Drosophila melanogaster: one gene and its partner. The gene in region 1 interacts genetically with each later gene. Each region holds a gene or a part of one and is shown in the gene's direction. Other genes may lie near its edges.

Region 1 (5,551 bases):
GGGGCCCAGCAGGATAATCCGCCGCACCATGCTCATGGTGGCTGCTGCCCGCCGCCTCTGTGCCTCTGTTCCGTCTACCGCTTCCTCCGCGCCCGCTGCAGTTGCTCCTGGACTCGGATTCCCCTGCGCCCCTGCTTTGCACCGATTTGCTACTCAGCTGGCGGCCGCTTCTTCTTCTTGCTCTGCTGATCTGCAAAGTTATTGTTGTGACTTCTGCTGGGGATGCCTCGCTTTGCAGGGATTGCTTTTCTATATCCACTTGTTGGTTATCCGTCGCTCGCCAAAGTGCGTCGCAATTTGGATGATTTTCCGCCTGCCTTGCTGTATTTTCGGTGGAAAATGGGGGGAATAGATTGCGCTCTGCACGTAATTTTTGTGGCTGTGTGCGTGCGTGTGATTCTCGTTGTTTTGGCTGCCCCACTCGCTCTGCTTCTTCTTGCCAAATCGGTCACTATACTGTATTAAAAGATCCACAAATTTCTAGGGTCTCCAGCATTATCTGATCCACTTTTTGTCTCTTGTAAGTACTCGGAAAATCTGGAAAAATCGCAGCAATCCAACTAAACGATTACGATATCAATCGATTGTTGTTATCGGTCTCAGCTGTTCGCCGTTCTTCTTCTTGCCAATCTTTGGTGAAGCCGCGCAACGCACAGTGGAACACAAAGTGACACAAAGTGGACAAAAACGAGGAGCCAAATAGTGTGGCTTGGAACTGGGAATTTAGCTGTCTACTGGAATTTTGACTGTGTCGAGGCCGGAAAAGTAAATTTCTAACACGAAAGTATAAAAACGTAAATTTCAGAAAGATCACTTTTTTTCTAAAGCATTCTGAGTTGAATTTCAACGTGGCATACATTTACACTACTTTACACTTAAGGGCTATAGTAAGCATAGTTAATAGCCGGGTATGATGCGACCCCTCTTGCTGGCCGTCTTTAGTTTCCGGTTCTTCTTGTCCTTGCTGCGCTTCTCCAGGTTCTCCTGTCGCTTCTTTTGCCTCTTTTCCTTGTCGTGCTCCACCTTCTGCTTGCGTTCAGTCCACTTGGTCTTGGACTTCTTCTTCTCCACGCGCCGCTTCTTGATGGCCTTTTGCAGCAGCTTGGTGTCGTCCTTGACCTTCTTGCCCTCGACCTTGTCGAATGCGTTGCGCCAGGCGATGTCCGTCTGGATCTCCGCCGCCTTGTCCGTTTCGCCCTGTTCGCGCAGTTCGGTTAGGTGCTTCTTGGTGTCGCGCAGCTTCTTCAGAATCTCCTTGGGGTTTTGGTGAGACTTCTTGGCTTTGCCTCCAGGATTGGCGGCAAAGTCCACCTTGGAGTAGACGATCTTGGCCTCCTGGTTGTAAACCGGTTGCACCTTGACCGGCTGGATCTGTTCCTTGCTGTCCTCCGTCTCCTGTTCTGATTTCACCACGCCATTCTTCAGTTTCTGGTGCTTGACGTTCTCGTTTTTGAGGTTTTTGGCCGAGGAGAGGAGCAGTTTCTGGACGCCCTTGCTGCGTTTAAGCTTTTTAGATTCGCGTCGCTTCTGCTGTCGCTCCGTTGTGGGTCCCTTTTTCTGGCGCAGCTTGTTCTTGATGGAGGCAATGCGTGCCTCTACATCCTCGTCGTCGGAGTCTTGGTTTTTCAGTTTTCCCTGTTGTTTCTTTTTCTTGTTTCCCGATTCCTCCGTGTCCGACAGCAGGTACTCTTCGTAGGTCTCCTCATCTGTAGGAAATACGATAAAGTTAAAGATTTAAGGCTTTTCATTAATGGTTTCACCTTCTTGTTTGGAGTAGGGCACTTTGTGAATGGTCAGCAGTTCCAAGACTCGCTGATAGAACTTTTTGGTGATGGCGGGCAGGTCCTCCTTCTCCGGCTTCTGATCCTTGTTGTGTTCGATTTCATACTCCTCCCGCAGACATTTCACGATCTCCGCCTGGGTCATTTTCGAGAGTAAAATAACAATAAAACTATTATTTACGCACGCACACGTGCAGCTAAGCAAGGCGGTCGAGTTCAGTGTGACCCCACAGAATTCGGGTGTTTTCGACAGTGGTTACCCTAGCGCAAATGTCTGGTACCGCTACAAGTAGTAAGGGGTATTCCCCTATTCAGCGAATTTAAGCAATGGTTTCAGATTAAAGGAGATTGAAATTTAATAAACATTAATTAACCATTGCTTAAATTCATAATTCTAGCCTAAGCTCTGAGAAATCTCAACAGGCATTTATCAAACAGTGTTACCAAATACGAACTTTCGAAAAAGGCGCTCTCCAGCCTTTTGTCATTTCCCAGCGCTCCCGCTGCGGTCACACCCGCCTCACTTTTCCGTAAAACATCGTTGAAGAATGACTAATTTGCCTGTTTTAAGTATTTACTCAATGCCCAGCTAATTGCACATCGCAAACAAACACACAGCAGTTCAGTTCAAGTTGGAGACGCGAGCGGCACCAGCGAATCAGCCAAGATGAAGAGGCAGTTTGCCAAAATCAAAATAGCAGCCGAAAATCTGTCAAGGTAAGTTCAAAGGCCAGCCAGTCTGTCGGTCGGATGTCTGTGGGTGTGTGTTTGTGTAAGTGCGCTCCAGGTGGACAGACAGGTGTGTGTTGCCTCATCACGAAAGAAGCAACAGCAGCAGCAGCAACAACAACAAAAGCAGCAGAGAAGCAGCCACAGAGCAACTGCATCAATAACAAAGCGCGATGACAGCCGTAACAATAGTGGACTGCCGATGATGACCTAACCCGTGCTAAACCCGTGTCAAAATGGTCCTTTTCGCATTCGCAGATCGAGCAAGTCGGACAGCAAGGACTCGGAGCTGGAGGCGATCGAGCGGCAGGTGGACAGATACCGGGACACCATCGAGAAGATCGTCCGCAAGCTGCCGGCGCTGAGCGGCGGAGGCGGAAGTGGAAGCGGGAGCAGCGAGGAGCAGGACAAGCGGACCAAGAAGAACAGTCACTACAAGATTGCCCAGGCTCTGGACGAGTCCGCCAAGGAGCTGCCCAAGGACATGCCGCTGCAGAAGGTCCTCGCCAATTGCGGTTAGTAATCGGGCAACCGGGATTTCCAGTGAGGCAGGCAGTTGCGTAGGCGGTCATTCGCCAGAGGGGGAAGTTACAGAATTTGTTCTTCATCAAGTGATTATATTGATATTGCTTTAGGTACCTAGCTTATCATAGTTTGTTAGCATGTTAGCTTAAACATCCATATGATGTTTCTTACAATCTGAAAATAGTTCCCAGCTGAGAGCCCCTCCTTGCAGCGGCAATCAGCCATGCCTACGGCCCTGGTGGGTGTCATGTTGTCGCTGCTGATAAGGCGCACAGTGGTTGTCGTTCGCTCCAAATCCGATAATCGCCGCCAGACATGCACAATGGCACACGAACACGAGTACGGGTTCGCAGGGGGCTTGGAGAACACACTACAGTGGATGACTGTGTCACGGGCTTCGGTTTGTCTGTGTGTATTGGCGGCCTCGCCTTGTCGCTTGGCCTTGTGGCATTTACATTTCTCAACTGCAAACGGCAACATCAACATCGACATCCACATCGACGGCGTTTTTTAATCATTATTATAATTTTTATTATGACTTTTTCGCCGCTTTCTTTCGCAGCCCGTTCGCCCGCAGTATTGGTATTGGTTATTATTTGCGGTTTCGGCATTGTCTATTTATACACCTTTTTGTTTTGCCAGCCAAGTTAGCCCGCCCCCATTGGCGCCCGTTTTTATTGCCCTGCTTCCATACAATTCACTGCCCGATTCACTATGCATTTCATTTAAATTTGTTACACATCGCGCGCGAAGTGGCATAACAAAGCCCGGTAAACGGCGATAATTATGCTAGCTGCTTGGCTAGCTGTGGCTAGTAAAAGTAAAAGTCTGGGCCAAATTCATACATCATCGTATCGTCATGATCTCTTCTTCGCTGTTCATTTATTATTATTTGGTGGGCGCTCCCCCTAGGTCGCATTACTCATTCCGAGTGTTATTTTTATTTGCCTGTATTATTTCCATTCGCTGTTTCCCCCTTTCAGGCACTCTGCATTCCACATATTCGCAGATGCGTGTGCGTCAATTGCAATTGCCAGTTCTGCCGCAGTTGCAGCGATTCAAGAGCATCTCGGTGGTTGTGTAACGGCCAGGGATCTGGAGAGCCCCCCCCCCCTTTTTTTTTTTAGTTCCCCACGTTCCTGATTAGACACGAACGCTTACACATGCAACTATCGCAGCCACAGTGAACGTGTGTCCGTGGGTTAAGTGGAAGCTCCATTCGAATGCTCGGGAAATCATAATTGGGTCAAGCTGCGGAAATCGATCGCCAAACGATGCAAACATTATTTTTGAAAGGGCTATAAAGCCTAGAGCATTGTCAGACTTTTCTATTCAAATGTTTGGCGAACTTTACGTCTGTTTATTTGCAAATGTTTCGGAAACCGAGCAATCGAAAGTACGTATTATAAAATCAAACTCGATTTCATTCGCTTATCTTCATTTTCTAATTTTAACTAAAAAATTCGAGAGACGCTTCAACTTTAACAGTAGACACCTCATTATAGTGAGATATGTCATTGTAATTTACATTTACAACTTAATTTCTTTGGTAAATAATATATCAATGTTTAATTGCGAGCATAGCAACTTAAATGTTAGGCAACAAGTTGTAGCTGCCAAGCTCCAGACCCACGAAAACACAAAATTACCGCACCGAAATTAGCTTTTTGTCGCCAGTGTTATGTCGGTAATTGCGGTGAGATATCATCGCACTTTAACCCACTGTGCGCCCTTTGCAACTCTTATTGTTAGCCACGATGCGCTTCAATTCAAGCCATTCAGCAAGGGGAGCTAGAAGCGAGCGTATCTCGAATGTAACACTCCAGTGCCGACGTCGTCTTCGCTTTGGACTCCGTCTCCGACACCCTCTTCCTCTGCAACTGCCTATGCTTTCTGTGGTGCGACCTTTTTGCCTCCACTATGCCTCCATGGCGGGTTCAGCTGCTGAGGCTTGAGTCTCGGGGCACTCAACACAATTATCACAATTTTGCTTACTCAGCTCGTCATCCTATTCGCCGGGCAATTCCCCCACGGATTGGCCCAATCTCGCCCCGCATCTAAGCGGAGCTACTCCAGCAACTGAAAACCAACCAGCACGCCAACATCTTCGCAGCTACCGCCAGGCGATAAGGTCTTAAATAAGCAGTGACTTCCTCACTTGCGGGTGGAATGGAATGTAATAGTTGGGAATGGCAAGAGGCTGCGTGATACACACAGCAAACTATTTCCATTTACTTTATGATTGATAAAGCTAGCAAATAATGATAGTAGTTTCTATTTCCTTTAGAAGTTAGATTCGCTTGTACTTGTCTTAGATTAGAGAGTTTTGGGGCAGCAAATTTAAAATTCGATATCCGATGACAAAGAAAGTGGTAATACCGCTTTATGTAAAGGATAGCGACTTATCTTTTTATCTATTACTAATTTCTGCTTATTTCTACTTATTTTCTGTGCATTTATTGTGGGGGCAGATAGGTGTAGGCTTTGCAGCTTCATATACCCATTACTAATGACAG
Region 2 (5,312 bases), on another chromosome or scaffold:
TCTGGAACAAGTGTGCGGCGGTGGCACCCTTCATGTCCATAATGAAAACTACTCCATTGACATTGGCGTAGTCGTCCTCCAAAATGGCAATCTCCTGCATTGCCTGGGCCACTTGCATGCACTCCAGCATTGTGTACTTCTCCACTGGCACCAATCCCATGCGCCAGATCCCGATGCGAGGTCCATTTTCATTCAGCGGAGTGGGCAGGTAGATGATGGCACTGAATTGACAGAATTGCATTGATAAATTAAATTAGTTAGCTGGCGTCAAAATCCTTACCCCGTTTGATGAATCTCCCGGAACTTGCTATCCGTGGTGTTGGTAACTCGGAAATAGTCCGGATACTTGGTCTTCAGCGTGTAGTACTTATCTAACTTGGACTTGGCCCGCTCCAAACTGTACTTGCAGCCGCGCAAGAAAGCCACCAGAAACTGATCATCCATTCGGGGATTTAGATGCGGCTGCTGCTCGATCCATGTCTTAAACGCCTGCAGATCGGCTTCGAGACGTTCGGGATCCTCCTTGAGCTGCTCCTTGGCAACTTTTTGCAGCTCTGGCGTAAGTGGACGGATTTGCGGTGACATTTCTAGGTCGTTTGCGGTCAGGAGGAAGTACTAGTGAACTGCTCGACGATTCTTGAGGCACTACCTGGACAATTTACGTTCTATTGATGGTCGATTATACGGAGCTTTATCAATTAATTGATAAGCGTCCGATTGGGCGCCATAAACCAAACAAAGACAAACATTGTGAAAAGTACTAAGATAACAGGCGCATTTCATAAGGAATGCTTCAGTTTGAATTAGCCAAAGATCGAGGAACCCACAACCGGTTTTAGCATACATAATTAACGCGTTTTATTTGGTGTTTTATTTTTGGAAGGGATAGTAGTCCAGGCCGGAGTTGTAGTTGAACTTCTTCTTTTGCTTCTTCTGGGCGGCCGCAATGATCTCCTGCACATCCTTGCGATACGCGGGTGGCAGCATCTCCTCGTGCAGCGTGCAGGGCTTCTGCTCGGGCTCCTCCACCTTGAAGATGTAGCGCCGTATGATGTCGATGTCGCGGCCAAACTCCTCCTTCAAGTCTGCGATCTTAGTGGGCGCCGTATCAAAGGCGATGGTGAAGTGGGTGCCTTCCCGGTGAACCACCCCGTGTTCGCTGACTTTGTGGGGCAGGGCGCGGGATCCCAGGTTCTCCAGCTTCCGGATAATGCCGCCCTTGTCCAGGATGGACTCGGCCGTTCGCCTAATCACGGAAATCAGTTCGGGCTGCGGGCGGTGTACAATTCTTATTTACTTTTATGTAACTGCCGGTGGATTTCATGTGCTACTCACGCGAGGCAATTGGCGGAGCACCAGTGCTAGTTCGTAAGAAGGCATTGTGACCGGTGAATTGTATGAGCTGGTAAGGAATTTAATTTCTTATATTAACGTTGTTTCTCTCAAGTTTTAATTCATTAAAAAGTTAGTAAATCTAATGTAATTGTTGACCCACCAGCTGATAGTGTTAACAGCTGATGCAAGGAAAGTACTAAAAATGATCTAGCGCCTGGCGCACATGCTTACACCTTACAGTGTGCCAAAATCTATTGCTCCAGTGAATTTAATGTTCAAATTAATATATTATATACAACAATAAGCGATGCTCTTGTTACTTTAAAAGCAATAAACAATAATAAGAAGTTTCTTCCAAGCTCAATAATAGCTTTCTTCATCTGTTTCAACGTTATGTTATTCCATAAAATTATTAGTTTTCAAGGCCACAATAATATATTTAAAAAGTCTACAATTAACGTTAAATTATAAAAAAAAATGGGGGCACGTATTAACGAAAGTTTCATATATTTTATATAATAATAATTAAACTTTACAGTTGCTCTCAATATGGGTTCATATCCCCGCTAGATGTTAAAGAGTTAGAAATTAGGTCGCCATCGGTCTCTGGTCACACTGCAAACGCAGAGGTGTGCCTATTCAAACACATTGCGGTCACACTGTGTATTGATGCCGAAGTGAAAAAACGAGCGGAAAGTTGCGAGCGGATAAAATTGTTTTTTCGCACGCCAAAAAGGAGAAACAAATGCTTGCGTTGTGTGAGTGCGGGTGTTTTAACTGTGTGCTTGTGTGTGTGTGCAAATGTCGCCCGAATTATGACGCATGCGAAAGTGCAGGCGCTAAATAAAACCCAAAATCGAAAGAAGTTGCAACTGCAAAGCAAATGCTAAAAAAAAAGTTAGCACAAATAACAAAAAAAAAAACGGTGGCAGATCTAGAAGCAGAGTGCGTGCATTCGGCAATTGCGTTTACTTGTGTGCGTGTGTGTGCGAAATTATGTAAATACAACAATAGTAGAATTCCAATTGTCCTCTCTTTCTGCTTTTCTCAATTATGAAATGCAGTTGCATCGCTCTCTATCTCTATCGCTCCCTCTCTCTCCTCACTCTCTTTGCGCATCGAAATGCCAGTGCATAGAATTTTCTTATTTTGCACTTATCACTAAACAACTCCCAAAAAAAGTGTTTAAATTCTCATTATCTATAATTTCCTTCAACTTCATTTTTCTACCTGCCGCTGCAACTGACACGTCTGCATTGCCACTCTTTTTTGTTTTTACATGCTTTCTTACCTGCCCAACCACCGAAAAAAAAAAAAACAAAAATGAAATATATCTGACTCGAATTGCTCTCTTTCATAGAAAATTAAACATCGCGCCGCGCAACGCTGAAAAAAATATAGAAAAACAAACGGAAAATGAAAACGAAAAAGCAGCCATAAAATTAATTAACCTTTGCGGGAAAATATAAAACAAAAACGAATAAAAGTTCTCATCTTTTGCTCTTCTCCCTCGCTTTCTACCTTTCTCCCTCTCTCCTCATCGTCTGTGGATTACATTATCTTCTGTGGATTATTATTATTAAAACAACAACAACAACGACGGCAACAACAAATACAGTGGCAAGCGGATCGAGCAGAAGCAGCAGCAACAACAAACTGGCCGAATCGGAAAACTCAGCGCAAAACTCCAACAACATGAGTTGGGGCACCGAGCTATGGGTGAGTTTTTCCTGGATTTAGAGGGGCTATATCTTCAGATAAGAAGTCGTATTTCATTGATAAAACAGGGGGTTCCTATAAGCAACAAATACATAGTTCTGCTTGTTTGAGGAGTATGAATGTATACCTATAGCTAAAAATCAAAACAAATTCGTAGTTTAGCTTGATCAGAATCATTAAGGTGTCCATTACCAGCTCAAAGAAGCTGGGGTCGGAAAAATCGAATTTTTGAAATTTGAAAGCTGGAATCGTTTGCCCATTTTTTGCCCATGTTTGCCCACCAATTAGTTTTTTTTGCCCACGTCCAGTTTTTGAGATATGAATTTTCGAAAAAGTTCGAAAATTTTCGAAAATCAAAAATTTCGCTTTTTTCAAATTTTTTTTTTTTAAATCGCAATAACATCGTTTGCCCACGTTTGCCCACCCTTTAGAATTTTGAAAAAATTTATACTTTAGAAAATATAAGGCTTTTAAGTTTACCTCGGTCTAATCAGAGAGTAAATCGTTTGCCCATCTCTTAAAACCAAATATTATCAACAAAAAACGTTTGCCCAACCATTATTATTAGTTTTTATCGTTTGCCCACCCTTTAAAAAACCTTTAACAAAAATTTTTTTTCGATTGCCCACACTTGAAATACAACTAATTTCGTTAGCCCACCTCTTCAAAATAAAACTTTTCAATAAAAAACGTTTTCCCACCATTTAAAAATAAATAATTTCGATTGCCCACCTTTTAAAACTAAATAATTTCGTTTGCCCATCCTTTAAAATTCATTTTTAACGTTTGCCCACCCTTTAAAATTTGTTTTTTTCGTTTGCCCACCTCTTAAAAATGGTTTTTTCGATTTTTCACCTATTAAAACTAAATTTGTACATATGTACATATGTAATAATTGTAAGATGTGGCGCCAAAAGCACAGTTACTTACAAAAGAACAGTTATTTACATATTTACATACATTTTCAATATATCCATAGTGTTAATCATTCATGAATTGTAACATCAATTTTTCTTAATCATTGTTTCATTTCATGGAAAATATTTTATATTGCAATATAATATATATGCAAAAAAATGTATGTATGTTTATCAACACTCTCCAAGCTCAAGAAAATTCTGGAATAAAATATTTTCCATGAAATGAAACAATGATTAAGAAAAATTGATGTTACAATTCATGAATGATTAACACTATGGATATATTGAAAATGTATGTAAATATGTAAATAACTGTTCTTTTGTAAGTAACTGTGCTTTTGGCGCCACATCTTACAATTATTACATATGTACATATGTACAAATTTAGTTTTAATAGGTGAAAAATCGAAAAAACCATTTTTAAGAGGTGGGCAAACGAAAAAAACAAATTTTAAAGGGTGGGCAAACGTTAAAAATGAATTTTAAAGGATGGGCAAACGAAATTATTTAGTTTTAAAAGGTGGGCAATCGAAATTATTTATTTTTAAATGGTGGGAAAACGTTTTTTATTGAAAAGTTTTATTTTGAAGAGGTGGGCTAACGAAATTAGTTGTATTTCAAGTGTGGGCAATCGAAAAAAAATTTTTGTTAAAGGTTTTTTAAAGGGTGGGCAAACGATAAAAACTAATAATAATGGTTGGGCAAACGTTTTTTGTTGATAATATTTGGTTTTAAGAGATGGGCAAACGATTTACTCTCTGATTAGACCGAGGTAAACTTAAAAGCCTTATATTTTCTAAAGTATAAATTTTTTCAAAATTCTAAAGGGTGGGCAAACGTGGGCAAACGATGTTATTGCGATTTAAAAAAAAAAAATTTGAAAAAAGCGAAATTTTTGATTTTCGAAAATTTTCGAACTTTTTCGAAAATTCATATCTCAAAAACTGGACGTGGGCAAAAAAAACTAATTGGTGGGCAAACATGGGCAAAAAATGGGCAAACGATTCCAGCTTTCAAATTTCAAAAATTCGATTTTTCCGACCCCAGCTTCTTTGAGCTTCCATTACCTCCTATATTCTTGGATATTAAAGAGGCGCTTATCTTCAGATAGGCTATATATATTGAAAGGCTCCAAACCTAAAATATAGATAGAAACGACAACATTGGTCTTATTAAGAAATTGTAAGCACTCATCAAAAATTACAAATTGCAAGCCACACAATTTTAATTAATTAAACATTTTTGTTTTGCCAAGCACTTGGTAAATGCAATTAAACTTCTCAAATATTTTACAACTACCAGAAAATAAGCTCGAAATTCCGGTTTTTTAAAACCAAC

What was found.
Region 2: of RhoGAP92B (region 1) and Cip4, changing one suppresses a phenotype caused by changing the other (phenotypic suppression), as found in Drosophila melanogaster (one study listed by BioGRID).

Annotation. Positions count from the first base shown.
Region 1 is NT_033777.3:19,902,863-19,908,413, forward strand, and holds the start of RhoGAP92B (Rho GTPase activating protein at 92B), read left to right. Parts: upstream 1-2,301; 5' UTR 2,302-2,448; coding exon 2,449-2,498; intron 2,499-2,586; exon of another isoform or gene 2,587-2,768; coding exon 2,769-3,025; intron 3,026-4,818; exon of another isoform or gene 4,819-5,229; intron 5,230-5,540; exon of another isoform or gene 5,541-5,551. Other genes in the region: ClpX (caseinolytic protease chaperone subunit), read right to left, coding at 1-36; Surf6 (surfeit 6), read right to left, coding at 898-1,706, 1,761-1,926. UniProt on the Drosophila melanogaster protein: GTPase activator for the Rho-type GTPases by converting them to an inactive GDP-bound state.
Region 2 is NT_037436.4:4,360,769-4,366,080, reverse strand, and holds the start of Cip4 (Cdc42-interacting protein 4), read left to right. Parts: upstream 1-2,106; 5' UTR 2,107-2,218; coding exon 2,219-2,333; intron 2,334-2,953; coding exon 2,954-3,054; intron 3,055-5,312. Other genes in the region: CG33514 (uncharacterized protein), read right to left, coding at 1-221, 281-585; mRpS6 (mitochondrial ribosomal protein S6), read right to left, coding at 871-1,269, 1,336-1,380.